Pelodiscus sinensis: one gene and its partner. The protein of the gene in region 2 interacts with the protein of the main gene of each other region in a pairwise test. Links are inferred from orthologs where the notes say so. Each region holds a gene or a part of one and is shown on either strand. Other genes may lie near its edges.

Region 1 (7,160 bases), on a different chromosome or scaffold from region 2:
TTCCTTCCTTAGCCTGGGGATTAGTGTGATTTATTTTTCTGAGGAATATTATGGGCCCAGAGGCAGCCGATGTGACACGGGCACTGAGCTTACATCCATGCTCAGATATTGCTTGTGAAAATCTTTGCTGTTGCACGCAGGTCCAGTGAGTTCTCTTTGTGCCTTCAGCGCTGGGCTTACAGTCCCTAAATGGATATGTTCTGCCTTGGATTCTAGTCTGCTTTCTGATTCTACGTGATTTTAAGGTGCCAGGCTGACAGCACCAGAAACTGAAGTTCTGTTTGGTGTCATGGATTGAGTGTGGCATGAGCAGCAAGAATTGCTGTTCTATTGAAGTCATTCCCCCAGGCTCCATCGTGCAAGGCATTGCAGGTGAACACGTTCAGGGCTGGTCTCTGCCCAAAGGATTTATCATCTTAGACAAGATAGGCCAAGAAAGGATTATGATCTCCTTTTGGCAGATGGGAGACTGAGGCACAGAGAGACTGAGTGACTTTCCCAAGGTCACCGAAGTAGTCTGTGGCAGAGGTGGGCTCGCCCTTATGTCACCCATGTTCTAGTTTGCTGCCTTAAACCCAGGCAGACTGGGTTTGCAGTGGGAGGTTTCTCAGTTACAGTGGTAAGGATGCTGAATCTTTCAAAAAGGTCCTGTCCCTCCCAAGTCTTGTTTGGGACGTAGAGTCATAATGGTGTTATGATGAGCGAGCAAAAACAGCCTGACTAAAAGTCTCTTCTTTCAGTGGCTCAGACGTCACACTCTTGTGATGTCATCCGTTCTCTAGGGTCGCCTCCAGCAAAACACAGACAGCCTTGGTCAACCTACATGCACCCAGACAGGAAAATCTCCCAGGACTTTCTCCAGCATGAAACAGGAGAATGGGGGGAAAAGGCAAAGTGAGGGCATGGAGACCATCATCTTCTGGCTGGTCCTCCATGCCCTTTTTCCAAGGTCACTGTGTCTTGCCACGCACAGGTGTGTTATTAGCATCCCCATCTTATTCCAGTCCTCCTATCTCCTATAGCCACGTTATTGTTCCTAAATCCCCTCAGTTACCACTGCAGTTTTCACCCAACATTACACTACTTATTGACATTGTAGTGACAGCCAGACACTGTTGGGGAAGGGGTGGGAATGGTACAGCAACTTATGTGAGAAGTTAATTAGTCACAGACAGATGATGTTGATACCTTAAGGAAGCCTGATTTATTTTCATGGGTGTCTATTTTCAGGAAGCTGAATATATTTGGCTAAATATAACACAGCAAGTAGTTATTGGCAAAGATGATCATGCTGCAAACGCAGAACCGAATGGAAACTGATTAGGCTGGTAAGCAGAAACCTAAAAGATCTGGACAACCAGTGGCCCAGCCTTATATTTTCAATATCAGGTTGCTTGGTGGTTGGCGTTTTTCATGCTGGGCATCAGATTAATCCTACAAGGAACTTGGTGCTGAGATCAGAGTAGTGAGGTGGGCAAAAGTGGCTTTATTAGGGTCCAATTCATTTCCTGCTGCATCAGCAGCCGCTGAGAGTAGCCCCCAAGGCTTCCCTGATTTGTGCCACCGAAGGCAGCTGGGAATACTTGAGTGAAGCCCCTCCACCCTCCAAAGAAATGCCTCTCTGCCAAGAACTTCGGTGGGGGACAGCAAAATGCCAGCTATGCTTGCTGGGGTTCCCAGGCTATGCTGGAGGAATTCTGCAGGTCAGGGAAAGTCAAGCATGACCCAGACTCTGGTGTCAGAAGGCTCAGAGTCAGGATTTGGACAGAATTTTGCAGCAGACTCCCTGGCCCTCTGAGTGACTGGAACTCTGAACTTTGGCACCAGTGGACTAGCGGTGGAGACTGAAGCTTCGCATCTGCCATGGGCATGGGACTGTTCCAGCCTCACGGGGAGCTCGCCATAGACAGGGGCTGCTCTGGCTGGGACAGCCAGGCTGGAGCAAACCCCCTGCCTGCCCTCCCTCCCCTTTGTTTAACCAGTTAAATGGGATGTTACCTCCCTGCAGTGGGCCAGATCCTCAGCTGGTGTAAATCAGCATCATTCCGCTGAATCTGTCCTATTGGCCTGGGGCAGACCAAAGCCAGCTGCTGTGTCTGCCACGGGCTGCATCAGGCTTCGGATCCATAAACTTTGGGGCACACAGGGGTGGGGAATCCATGGCTGGATTTTGCTGCTTGGAACGATCGTGATGCTGCTTGCAAGGCTGATTAGGGTCATCCTTGTGGGAAGGATGACTAGACCCAGGGTGTGTCTAGACTACTCCTCTCTGTAAACCTCTGTTTTTTGAAGAATACTGGATTTGTCGAAAAAGGCTTTATTTTCCACAGATCCACGTCTAGACTTCTGTTTTTTTTTAAAAAAACTCCATTTCGAAGAAAATAGCGGTGGCCATGTTTATGCTAATGAGGCGTGGGATATTTAAATCCCGGCTTCATTAGCAATTTCGACATGCTTGATTTGCATCCCTCTGTCGACAGAGGCATGCAGTCTAGACGTAGCCCCAGGGTTCAACTAATGTTGGGGGACAAATGATGACAAAACAGGATCAAGATGTGGGGGTCACAAGTTTAAAACAAGGCAACCAGACGGGGACACAGAGAAAAGAACCCCAGACAGCGCCCACTGCTCCTCAAAGCTGTCAATGGAGCCATTGGACGCTGCCCAGAGGAACTCCGCCCGGATACGTGACACTAGGGAGGAACGGAAATAGGCCCCACAGTCGCAGAGCACCCCCTCGTCTCGCATCCTCCTCCTGGTATAGTATACAATGGTTTTCGCCAGTGCCAGGAGGAGGTTGACGAGGAAGTCTCGTGACTGTGGGACCATGGATAGGGTGCGCATAAATGATGAGGTGTGGGGAAAAGTGCAGCTAGAACCTCAATAAGAAGTTCTGGAGGAGCCGGAACAGGGGCTGCAACCTGGCGCATTCCAGGTAGGCGTGCGCCAGGTTTTCCCTCACGCCGCAGAAAGGGCAGGTGTCCAGGATGGGGGTGAACTGCGCCAAGTACACGCCCGTGCTCACGGCTCTGTGAAGGAGCCGCCAACTGGTGTCCCCAATGGGCCAGCGTATGTTCCACCTTAATCCCGCGGCCCATTGGGGTTCTCCACCCTTAAACAGTACCGTCTCACTCGCCCCACTCGCCCTGCCCTATATCCGCCCCTGTCTCTTGTTGTCGGGGCGGAACACGAGGGTGAGGAAAGGTTGTGTGTGGAGCACAAGCATGTACAGATGTTCTCTTGGTGCGGTTTGGGAGCAAACCGGTTGCAGATCTTGCAGCCAGCTGGGGGTCTAGGGATGGGAAGGCCGGGGGGTGGGCCGGACTGCGGAACAATAGACGGAGGGTTTGCAGGAAGGGAGGGGCAGGGCGTGCCCTCACACAGGGACCACTGCAGGAAATCGAGAGCGGGCTGCGGCAAGGCCGCCTTCACCTCCTGGAGTAGGTGCAGGGCAGTTTGTGGGGTGGAGAGCCCCATGTGCTGAGCGAGTGCTCAGGGATCTACCCAGCCCCCCTGCAGTGGGGTGGAGTGGCTGCACACTGACCCGGAGGCGGAAGAACCCCTCCGGGAGGCCTAACCAGTGACACCCCCCTTAGCCCAGGGGAAGAGAGTTTTGGGTGCAGGTATCCCCCTAGTAAGAGCCCGAGTTAAGTTGGCAGTGAAGACAAACTGAGTGTGTTTGGATGGGTGGGAGAAGAAACTGGATGTGTTTTCCAAGTGAGCCATCCTGAAGCAGTGCGTTGCACCCCTAGCCTTGTAAGCCTGGAACAGCTGGTGAAAGAACATCCGAGCGGAAGCCAGGCAGGGCTCGCTACCCCCTGGGATTGGCAGTTGCCCGGCAGGGTTGTCAGCTTTGGGGTGGAGCCAGTGTCACACATGAAATACTCCAGCTTTATGGGAGGATTTCACTCACTCTCTCTCTCTCCTCCTCCCTTTGCAGCCCCAGCCTCAGGTTGCTGCGGGGAGGAATCTTTCCTTGCCCTTTCTGGGAGTGAAGTGCACCAGGCAGATCAGCCCAGCTACGGCGGGGGAGAGATCGGAGACGGGAGAGATTTGGGGGAAGCAGAAAGTGGCCTTGATTGGAAAGAAAGGAAGGAAGGAAAAGAGTGAGTCTCCCTTCTCCGGCAGTGTAAGTACTGGTTCTTCCTGGCTACATTTCACCAGCATTGCAATGTAAACAGAGCAAAGGTACGACCGAGTGGGGTTTGCTTTTAAAGGAGCCGTTCTCCTTTTGTATCCCTCTGGCTTCCCAGCACGGCTTCCCCGCTGGGGACTGCGGATCTCTTCATGGCACGGGTCCTTTGTGGGAGAGGGCATGACAGTAATTGGGGGTCAGGTGGACAGAGGTATGTGCCAGGCATTGAGGCAGATCAGCCGTATGCCAAATGAAGCATATTCTGGTCTCCTTGATAGAAGAGATTCCTGTTTGTGTTTTGGTGGGAGGCATTTTGTTGCGTCTCTTCTCCCCCCCTCCCATCCCCTGCAACTCTTTCTCCAATACCCTAAGGCGTTTGCTAGCAGGGCATGATATTGTCTTATCTTTGAAGAAAGCCTGCAGCCTGGGAGAGGAATGGAAAATCTGTTGCCTCCAGTATGAAACTTTGTGAGGCTGCTGTTAGATGGCACATGGTGGGACATCCGTTCACGTGCTCAGGCAGGGGTCACCCCCCCGGGCGGGCACCTTCCCCACAGTGCTGCACTTTTGGTGGCTGCCAGTGTCTGTTGCATCTCGCTGTCACTCTGTCACATTCTCAGGTACGTGGGGGAACTCCCCCCATACGTGGCTTCCTTCAGCTCTCCTGCCCAGCCACGGGTGGGGAGAAGTTACGGCGGTTCATGCCTGCAACCCAAATCCCCACCATGCCAGGACTAGAATTGGCACCAGCAACGCTGCAACAAGCTGGCTCTTCTGCGGATGAAGCCCAGCCAGAACAAGAGCTGCAGCGGGATTGGCACCGTGGGGGCATTCACTCTGAAAGGGACGAAACGTCAGCCTCCTGCCTCGGCTCTGGCATGGCTTGTTTGCACCCTGTGCCAGCGCAGCGAATGTGTGTGGAGGGGAGAGCGCGGTTGGCATGCTGCACAGGCAGCAGGCAAAGGGTTAACAGCAGTGGGCTTTGTTGAAGTTGAGGGGTGGTATATGTGGATGGAGCCCAGGTTGCTGCCGGCAACCCTGTGGGCATTTTCGGTGGCAACACAGTTTGGGCAGAGTGGAAAAACAAACCACAGGCTGAGTGTGCAATAGATTTCCCATGGGACCTGTGTCAACTCACTTATCCTCTGTGCCTCAGTTTTCCCATCAGTGAAAATGTGACCTTGCGTCTCTCTGGCTGATTTCCCCTTCCCTGACAGCATCTCGGTGAAGACCTGAATGTGGTCTGGCAGCACGGAGGAGTGTGTTCAGTGTTGTGTTTTTGGGGAAGGCCACTTTCGCTAACTAGCCACTTTTTGTTAGTCCCTGGAATGGATGCTTACAACAGGTTTCACTGGATGGTGTGCATAGTAATTGCGTCGTGTGATCAGACACAGTGAGTGACAATGCAGTAGCTGTGCACCCTGGCTTCTGAATTGGCTCTTTTAAATGTGGCTAATGTATGCCGGATGTATTTATTGTGGTGATAGGTAGACTCTCTCTGAGATGTGACCCCATTATGTCAGGCTCATATACACAGTGTGAGAGACTCCTTGCCTGAAGTTGTTTACTATCTAGGTAGACAAAAGAAGAATTGTTAGCTCTATTTTTCAGAAGGGGGAGCAGAGACAAGATGACTTGCCCAGGGTCACTCGGGGAGTCAGTGGCAGAGCTGAGAACCAAACCCCAGTACCCTGAATCCCAGGCCATCTTCCACTCTCTGTGTATCACGTGCAGAGCACCTGTGTGCACATGACACTGACTGGACTCCAATCACTCCCCAGACATGTTTGCATTCAAACTTTTGGGCTGTACCCACTTCTGAGTCCTTCAGTCCCTACTTAGTCCTTCTGGAGACCAGCGGATCATTCATTACAAACCCGGACACACTTTCCTGGCTTCATTCCGCACCTGCAACATGAGCCAGGTTGTCTAAGAAAATCTCTTGGGTTCACATAATCATTTGAACGCCCCTGGTGCTGTGCTGTATGCATCTTCACAGCCTCCCTTGCAGGAAGGTTACCATTTCACAGATAGGGAAATGGAAATATGGAGGCAAAGTGGAACTGGTAGAGCTAGAACCCTGGATGCCTGACTCCGGGCCCCGTTCTATCCTCCAGCCATGTGGAGGTTCTGAAATGCCTTCCGGGATGAGTTTTGCTCTGAGTTATTGATGCATCAGCTCCTCCTCCTTCCCCCACCCCAAAAGTCAGCCCAAACAGACATGGCCTGGATTTGCATCCAAGCTGCATTTCTAATGTTTAATAAGTGTCTAAATCTGGAGGTCACTTGGCTTTTTTCAGCAAGTGGCATCCAGGTGGGGGATTCATTGTGTGTCTTTATCCCTTCCTGGCTAACTCACAGCTGCTGTCTGGAAAAGAAACAGAAAACAAAACCCCACCTGTTGGTGGATGTAGAGGTAAAGGCCTAGATTGCAATCCTGCAGGCAGCTAGCTCTGCAGACTCTGTATTTGGACTCTTACCAAATACAGCATCCTGGTCACGCTTTTTCATTTCTAATCAAGGTTCCTTTTAAGGGCGCATTTTGCCTGCAGTCGAAGCTGCTCCTCTGCTACCCAGTTGTTTAGCCCCTCACGCCATTGGCCTGCCGCCGTTGCTGGAACAGAAGCTGGAGTGAAAATTACTTTCAGACTGCTGTGAAAAGCAACTGAGCTTTCCACTGTAGGGCAAATCCACACTGATGCCTCCTTACTGCTGTGGTCTCTTGCGCACGCTCTCTCCTTTTGTGCAATCCAGTCTTGTCAATTTTCTGGCCCCAGTTTGAGGCCAGGAGTCTGCTATCTTCTGCGTTTCCTAGCTTGTTTCAGCTCAGCCACCACAGCCAGGGGAAAATTATCTAAAAAACTCTGCACCTACGCAAAAGCTGGGTTTTCAAGGGTGCCCGGCACCCTGCCGCACCCAAGGATGCAGATATTTTCAAAAGAACACAGCACTCAGTGCATGAGATCTCCTGAAAACCTCTCCTATGGAGGTACCTGCAAGGCAGCAGAGCTCTCTTGAAAGTTCT
Region 2 (6,865 bases):
TTCAGCAGCGGCTGACGCCAGTTCCGACTTACATACAGATTCAGCTTAAGAACAAACCTACAGTCCCTATCTTGTACGTAACCCGGGGACTGCCTGTATAGTGCCTACCTGCCATTATACAAAATGCACCTTCTATCCACAGTCTATCTACCACTTCCAAAATACAATTACCCACAATATATACATCTCAATCATCCAAACACAGATATAACCTTAACTCAAACTCAACTAGAGTAAAATCACATCCTGATCGAATAGTTTAAACAACTATAAATGTATGAAAATTTTAATGTATTATATGCAAAAATGAACACTGCCTGTGTAAACTAAATCTGGCTCCTTGACATCACTTTTTTAACAACAGTGGAACAAGCCTAAATAAGCAACAGTGTAAAGCTTAATATTTAATTGGTTTAAAATCTGTTTTAAATGTACAATTCTGTGAATTCTATACCATGGATCTAGTAGGGAATATTTCATAATTCCAATTGCATATTCTTTCACCAAACAAATACTAAACAGTGCTGCCAATAAAGATGCATTCGTCTCATATATACAGACAGACAATATATGTTTTTTCCTTTTGGTTCACATAAATATAGTATTCGTGACTAGAAAGAAATTTGGAAAATTCAGATCTGCATCCAGTCTGCAGCTCAGTTCACCTTTACTTGGATATGCCAGTATTTTGATTCTACATGCTTACATTTTGGCTGAAATCCTAAAGCTATCTCTGGCTCTGCTTTGACAGGCAACAGGGTATGTTTTTCAATTGTGTTAGCTGAATCCAATTAACACAATTGAAAAGCCCTGTTAAAATGCAGGCGAGCATGTCTGAAGTTGTCATGTTACATTAACGCAACTAAGCTAACATGACTGATAAAACACACCCTTAAAGACACATCATTTGTGTATTTGTAGTTTGCTGAATGGATGACTAGTTTAAATTGGAAGCCAGATGTATGGATAATATCTGAAACATCATTCATCCAGATACCTACAGTAGCTTCTTTATATTATGTTTTTATTAAAAAAAAACCTAAAATATATTTAGTATATAGCACAATAAATTTTAAGTATTTTTCTTAAAAAAAAAAAAAAAACACAACAACAACAACAACAAAAACCACACATTAGTAAAACTGCTTCTCTGTAAAAATACACATTTCTCTACTAGGTGACCTTAATGAGGAAAAATGCTCCTTCCCTTTCCTTGTCAATAACTGAAGGCTAAGTCAAGTTATCATTCTGAAATGTGGACTAATCATCATAATCTTGGGAGCAGAAGAGGGGAAAGATGTGTTTATTTCACATGTAAAATGGTATATTTGTGAAGAGCAGAGTCTGCCATTTTACTCTGGAAGAGATAATAGTGGTATGAATTCATCTTTGTATTTCTTAAATGGTACAGGCAGTCCCCGGGTTACGTACAAGATAGGGACTGTAGGTTTGTTCTTAAGTTGAATTTGTATGTAAGTCGGAACTGGTACATATTGTAGGGGAAACTCTAGCCAAATATTTCTCCAGAGCTCAGTTTTATTCTCCCACATCTCACTTCCCTCAGTCCTTTATTCTCAAGCTGAGGTGTCTGCTGAGAAAAGCTGCTCCGCGTCTCCCTGGTCTGCTGGGTGGCGGGGGGGGGGGGGCGGGGGGGGACGCTAGCTTCGCGTCTCCCTGGTCTGCTGGGGGGAAGCAGCTAGTGCAGGGTTGCCTCACCCCGTTTGTAAGTAGGGATCCGATGTAAGTCGGATCCATGTAACCTGGGGACTGCCTGTATTTTATAGTCTAAACTAATCCTCTTTGAGCAGGAAAGGAAGTTGTAGAAACAGCTTCACCATGGCATCAATATCAGTAGCAGCTTCAGTACTGATTTAAGCAGGTTGCAACACACAGGCCCATGAAGATGTAATACCCCTGCAAATCAATCAATTCAAAAGATACTTAAATCATTCAGTGTATTTTAAGCTGCTGGGCTTAATTCTGCCACACACAAAAAAATAAAATACAAAAACCCCATAAAAAGTCAAAAAAGATGGCAGAAGAGAAAACAAAAGGAGTGCTTAAAACAATACAAACCAATGTTATATTATTGATAATTGAATCTAAGCCTCCTCCTGCTCACCTCTCTATGAAGCAAGAGACTCCCACATACCAGCAGAAACAGAGCTGGATCCAGAAAAATTGAAGTATGGGAGAATTATGGAAGGCAAAGAGGTAAGGGGAGTTGATTTAAACTCTTTTTTTTTTTAAATGTGAACTCTGATCAAAGCATTCATCAAAACATCAGGGAGAAGTCAAGTTAAGCATTTTGTTTACTTTCATTCCACCCTTGCTATCACTTTTTGGAGGGAGGAACAAGAAGAGGAAGTTGATGTAACTGCCCCCAGTTTTCATAAAAGTGAAGAAAATGTCATACCTTGAGAGCATATACACAGGGATTAAAACAAAATACTCACACATAACTGCAGGACAGGGAGTAGCAGGTAGGTGTGGGGTGTAATGTTTTTCTCTCCTGCCCTGGCAAGACAGTGAGTGGAAAATAGACAAGCAGCAAGTGGGAGAGCTGAAGTACATGTGATGAAGTACTGTCATCCCACCTTCTCTTCTCCCCTATCTCAGTCAGTGAAATGAGTGTTTTCTTTTACCAAAAGGACAGTGAGTGGGATGCACAGGAGAAGAAGCAAAATGAGAAACAGAGAAGTGTGGTGATACCCATAAGAGTAAGGGGTGGAGTGGTGGGTGAGGGACTGAGGATTGCAGCTCCCCCAGGAGAAATCTGATGTTAATAGGAAAGATGAGAAGGGAGAAGCTACAAGTGGGTGTCAGGCACAGACAAGAAGAGGAAGGCAGGGTGGGTGGGAAGAAGGACCACGACTTATGCCAGCAGGATAACAAGTGGGAGGCAGGTTTTCAGTACCAGAAGAGCAGGCTGCTAGGAATGGGATGCTCCCAGCATAGGAGACTGGATGGTGAAAGTTCAGGCGGTGAAGCTGCTCCCGCACCCTAAAGGGAGGGAAAGATAACACGCAGGGGCGCAGGAACAATTTCTGTAGTGGAGGGGCTCAGACCCACTGAGGCAAACTGCAAGCCCTGGATATAATGGAAACCACTTCAAACCAGGGGGTGCTGCAGCATCCGCAGCAGCACTAGGAGAGACGGGGGCGGCCGCTGAGGGGTGGAGCGAGGTCAGAGTTGTGCCGGAGGACACGGGGTGGCGAGGCCTGGGCGGGCGCGGAGCGGATGGGTTCACCGAGAGCTGCTGGGGGTGGCCCCTGCGGGACACAGATGATGGGAGGGGGTAGCGCCCCAAACCCGCCAGCGCGTGAGAGGACTGCCCCCCCCCAAAAGAAGAGGCCGGAACGGCCGGTGGCTCCCTACCTTCCGCACGACCGCGACGGCTCCTTCTCTTGGAAACGGCGCGCAGCCGCCCGCGTTTCTCTCACCGGACACCGTCCGCTGCCCGGGAAAGGGGGAGGTGGCGGCCGAGCTAACCCGAGCCCCACACTCCCAACGCCCGGCCCGCCCACTGATTCCACCCCGCTACCTCCATTGGCTGAGCCTTACCCACACAAAGGGCCCGCCCCCAGCTCTGCCACAGCCAAGGCATCTCATAGGCCGCCCCTTCCCCGCCGCCCCTGTCGCTCACCCACTGGGAGTGGCGGAAACAGGGACAAGGGGTGTGGCTACTCCCGATTGGCGAAAATTCACCCTACCACTTTCGATTCCTATTGGTTGAAGAGGCCTACAATCCTCTCGATTCGAGTACCTGATTGGTCTTCCTCGACACAGCCACGGTAGGGTGCGCGCAAACCTGTTCTAGTGTGCGTGTGATGGGGAAGGGTGGAAGTTAGCGCTGTGGCTAGGATCCTCATTGGTCGGCTGGAACGTGGGCGCCGTGCCCTCGCGACGCTAACGCAGCGACGGAACGCAACGCCTTGGTCCGATTCCCAAAATGGCGCCGCGCAGGGAGCGAAGGTGTTGTCGTTAGTGGCCTCGCAGTGCTGCGGGGGGTTCGCGCGCTTGATTTGTGAGTGTCTCTCGGTGGGAGTGTGACCGCGTACAGAGTGGGATGGGGCGGAGGTGACATGGGGCTCTGGGGTAGGTATGCGCGAGGAGCGGGATGCCGTGGTACGGGACTTCTGGGTGCTGAGCGAGGGTCGGGACGCTGAGGAGAAGGGGTTGCGATCGTGCCGGGGGGTGCTGTGGCCAGGCGGCTGAAGAGGGAGGTGTAAATTGAGATCCCGGTCCTGAGGCAGCGGGAGATTTGAGGCGGGGGGTGGGCGTAGCCGTGGGGCTGATTCGGAGTGGTTGAGAGCCGAGTGTCCTTGAGGGCCCTGGCGCTGGGGAGGGTCCGTGTGAGAATAGGGTGCCAAACATGGCTATCGGGCCACTCGACCTTCGCGCGTTGTTTCTCCAGTCTTCAGTCTGGGCAGTAGCCCGCCCCTTCTCCCCCATCCCCCGGAAGATTGGTGTCATAAAAACGTAAAATTTGTCCTTCGGTTCAACTCTGCTAACTGCGTTACACGTAGGAAAAGGCTAGTCGAGACCGTACGTTGGATTAAATCAGTATTTGCTGTATGTGGGGCAGGTGGTAGTGTGATCTTTCCTAAGAAAAGTTTCACTGTAAACTAGCTTGTTTGTGAAAGTGCTGTATTGGGGAGGTAAGGAATGAGCTCGTGGTGCCTGCTAGTCGTTGTTGTTTTTGTGATGTAAGAAGAGACTTTTAAAAATAAAGCTGTTAGTTTAATGTTCTTAAAGTATTCCAATTACCGACTTTTGTCTGTTTTGGTTTTGATGAGAAACCTCTTGAAACAAAGGAGGGAATTCCATACAAAAAAAATGCTGTACTCAATATTTTAAAATTCTGCAGGTTTTGTCTATAAATGTGGAGTCTCCAACACGGTAGTGGAAAACATAGCCCAGTAGCTGTACAGAGGCTGGAGATCACCCTACTGCTCCCTTTTCCCACAACACTGTGGTGAAGCTGCACCCAACCTTGACAAAACACAAAGTCCAACTCTGCCCCCAAAACACCCTGGGGTCCTGGCCCTCTGCATCAGGTGCACCAGCTATGCAAGGGCAGATGCAGAACAGTGGGATCCAAGTGTGCAGAGGCTTGATGTGGAGAGGTTCAGGTGTGGGAAAAGAGGATTTTGGGTGTAGGCAGCTTAGTTGAGGGGGGAGTCCAGGTATGCAGAAGATCTGTATGCACAGTGGGGTCCAGTTTAGGGCTGTAATAGTGTAGTCAATTAACCAATAAGCAAAAGTTTATAGGTTAATGCTATAGGCCCCTTGCATTCCCGCCACCCGGCCAGTAAATTTTTTAGCAGGCTGGCCAGCAACCTGGCTCAATCCTGGCTCACACTGGGTCTGGGACCTACCCCTCTTGCGGCTCTGCATTAAAAGTGTATCAGGAGCTGGGTGGGCAGGCATCCCGGCTCAGTTTTGGCTCATGCTGCGTCCAGGAGCTCAGTGATCCCCTGGACAGGGACTGTTGCCTCTGTATCAGAGGTAGCAGCGCAGGGTGAAAGGCAGCTGGGCCAGGAGGGGAGATGGTTTCTAAACTGGCTCACCTCATGGACCAGCTCCCACCTGGTGCTCCTGCACTGCTGCCTTGGTCCCAACTCTGGGGCTTCTATAGTCCCCGCACTGCTGCCCCGGCCCCACTTCCGGGGACTATAGACTAGTTGAGTAACTGATAAGAATTCATGAATTTAATAGACTGTTCAACTAACCGATATTTAACATCCCTAGTCCAGTTGCAGGGGCATAGGAACTTTGCAAGGGGATCCAGATGAAGATGATTGGGGCTAAGAAGCGGATTCTGGGTGTTGGAAATTTAGCAGAGGTGTCCAGATATTGGGAGAGTGTGGATTGGCACGGTGGGAGTCCAGGTGCAGCTGGTTGCAGACCTGGTCTGGGTGCAAGAGGCTTGTGGGGTGGTTCATATGCATAGGAAGTGGGGTTCATTGGACTGAGAGTTCAAGTGAAGGGGTTGCACGGGGTAGTCTGGATACAGGAATACCCACAGTCCAGATACCGGAGGCAGTGGGGCTTGGCACGGGAGTCTGACTACATAAGGTAGTACTCAGTGTGGGGGGACTCCAAATGTAGAAGCTAAGGCTTGGCAGAGGAGAGTCTGGGTATTGGAAGGGAAAGTGTCTTGATGCACAGGGTTGTCTGTATGGGGAAGAGGGGTCATGACTCTGACCCAGCACCAGCAAGTGACTGGACTGGGCTGGTTTTGAAAAGACACTGACATTTAGGAAAAAACAAACAGTCTGGAGATATGCTCACTTGATTCCCTGAGACTGAGAAGTAAGTCTTACGTTTGTAAGACCTTTATGCATGTAGGCCTGTTCTTGTTTTAACATTTTTCTCTGATTGCTGCATTCCTGCGGAGAGAGAAATAGGTTGCAATGAATACATATAGATGGCCAAACTCAGCTGGGTCTGCAGAGTAATCATAATTGGTGCCTGGAGACACTGTAAAAGAGAGGTGAATCAAGAACAATGAAGGCACAGTATCTGTAATTTGACAGAAAGTTCATGGAGGAGGGAGCTTCTGCTAACCCTCTAATTTACCTAGAAATTCACAGGAATCCATTGGAAACTGAAGCACTGATTTAATTTGCTTGTAGGAACATACCTTGCTTTCTCAGTGTGCTACCACATTCTGCACAATATCTTGTTTGTTGGTGGTTTTAAGACATGGTCCCATATGGAGTGCATTTTAGTAATCTTAACTTTGAGATGACAAAAATGTAAATGAGGCAAGATCCATATGTGAAAATGATTAGAAAGCAGCAACCACCAGATCAGTTATCTGATCTTCCTGTGGCATCTAGGAATCCAGTTGGACCCC

What was found.
Region 1: the proteins of CCNK (region 2) and CDK18 interact in binary tests that used the Homo sapiens proteins (3 or more experiments, as listed by UniProt). The two-hybrid records come from large-scale screens. The link is inferred for Pelodiscus sinensis from reciprocal best matches to the Homo sapiens genes CCNK and CDK18.

Annotation. Positions count from the first base shown.
Region 1 is NC_134737.1:6,976,403-6,983,562, reverse strand, and holds the start of CDK18 (cyclin-dependent kinase 18), read left to right. Parts: upstream 1-4,141; 5' UTR 4,142-4,315; coding exon 4,316-4,346; intron 4,347-7,160. UniProt on the Homo sapiens protein: May play a role in signal transduction cascades in terminally differentiated cells.
Region 2 is NC_134714.1:24,956,893-24,963,757, reverse strand, and holds the start of CCNK (cyclin-K), read left to right. Parts: upstream 1-3,858; 5' UTR 3,859-4,098; intron 4,099-6,865. UniProt on the Homo sapiens protein: Regulatory subunit of cyclin-dependent kinases that mediates activation of target kinases.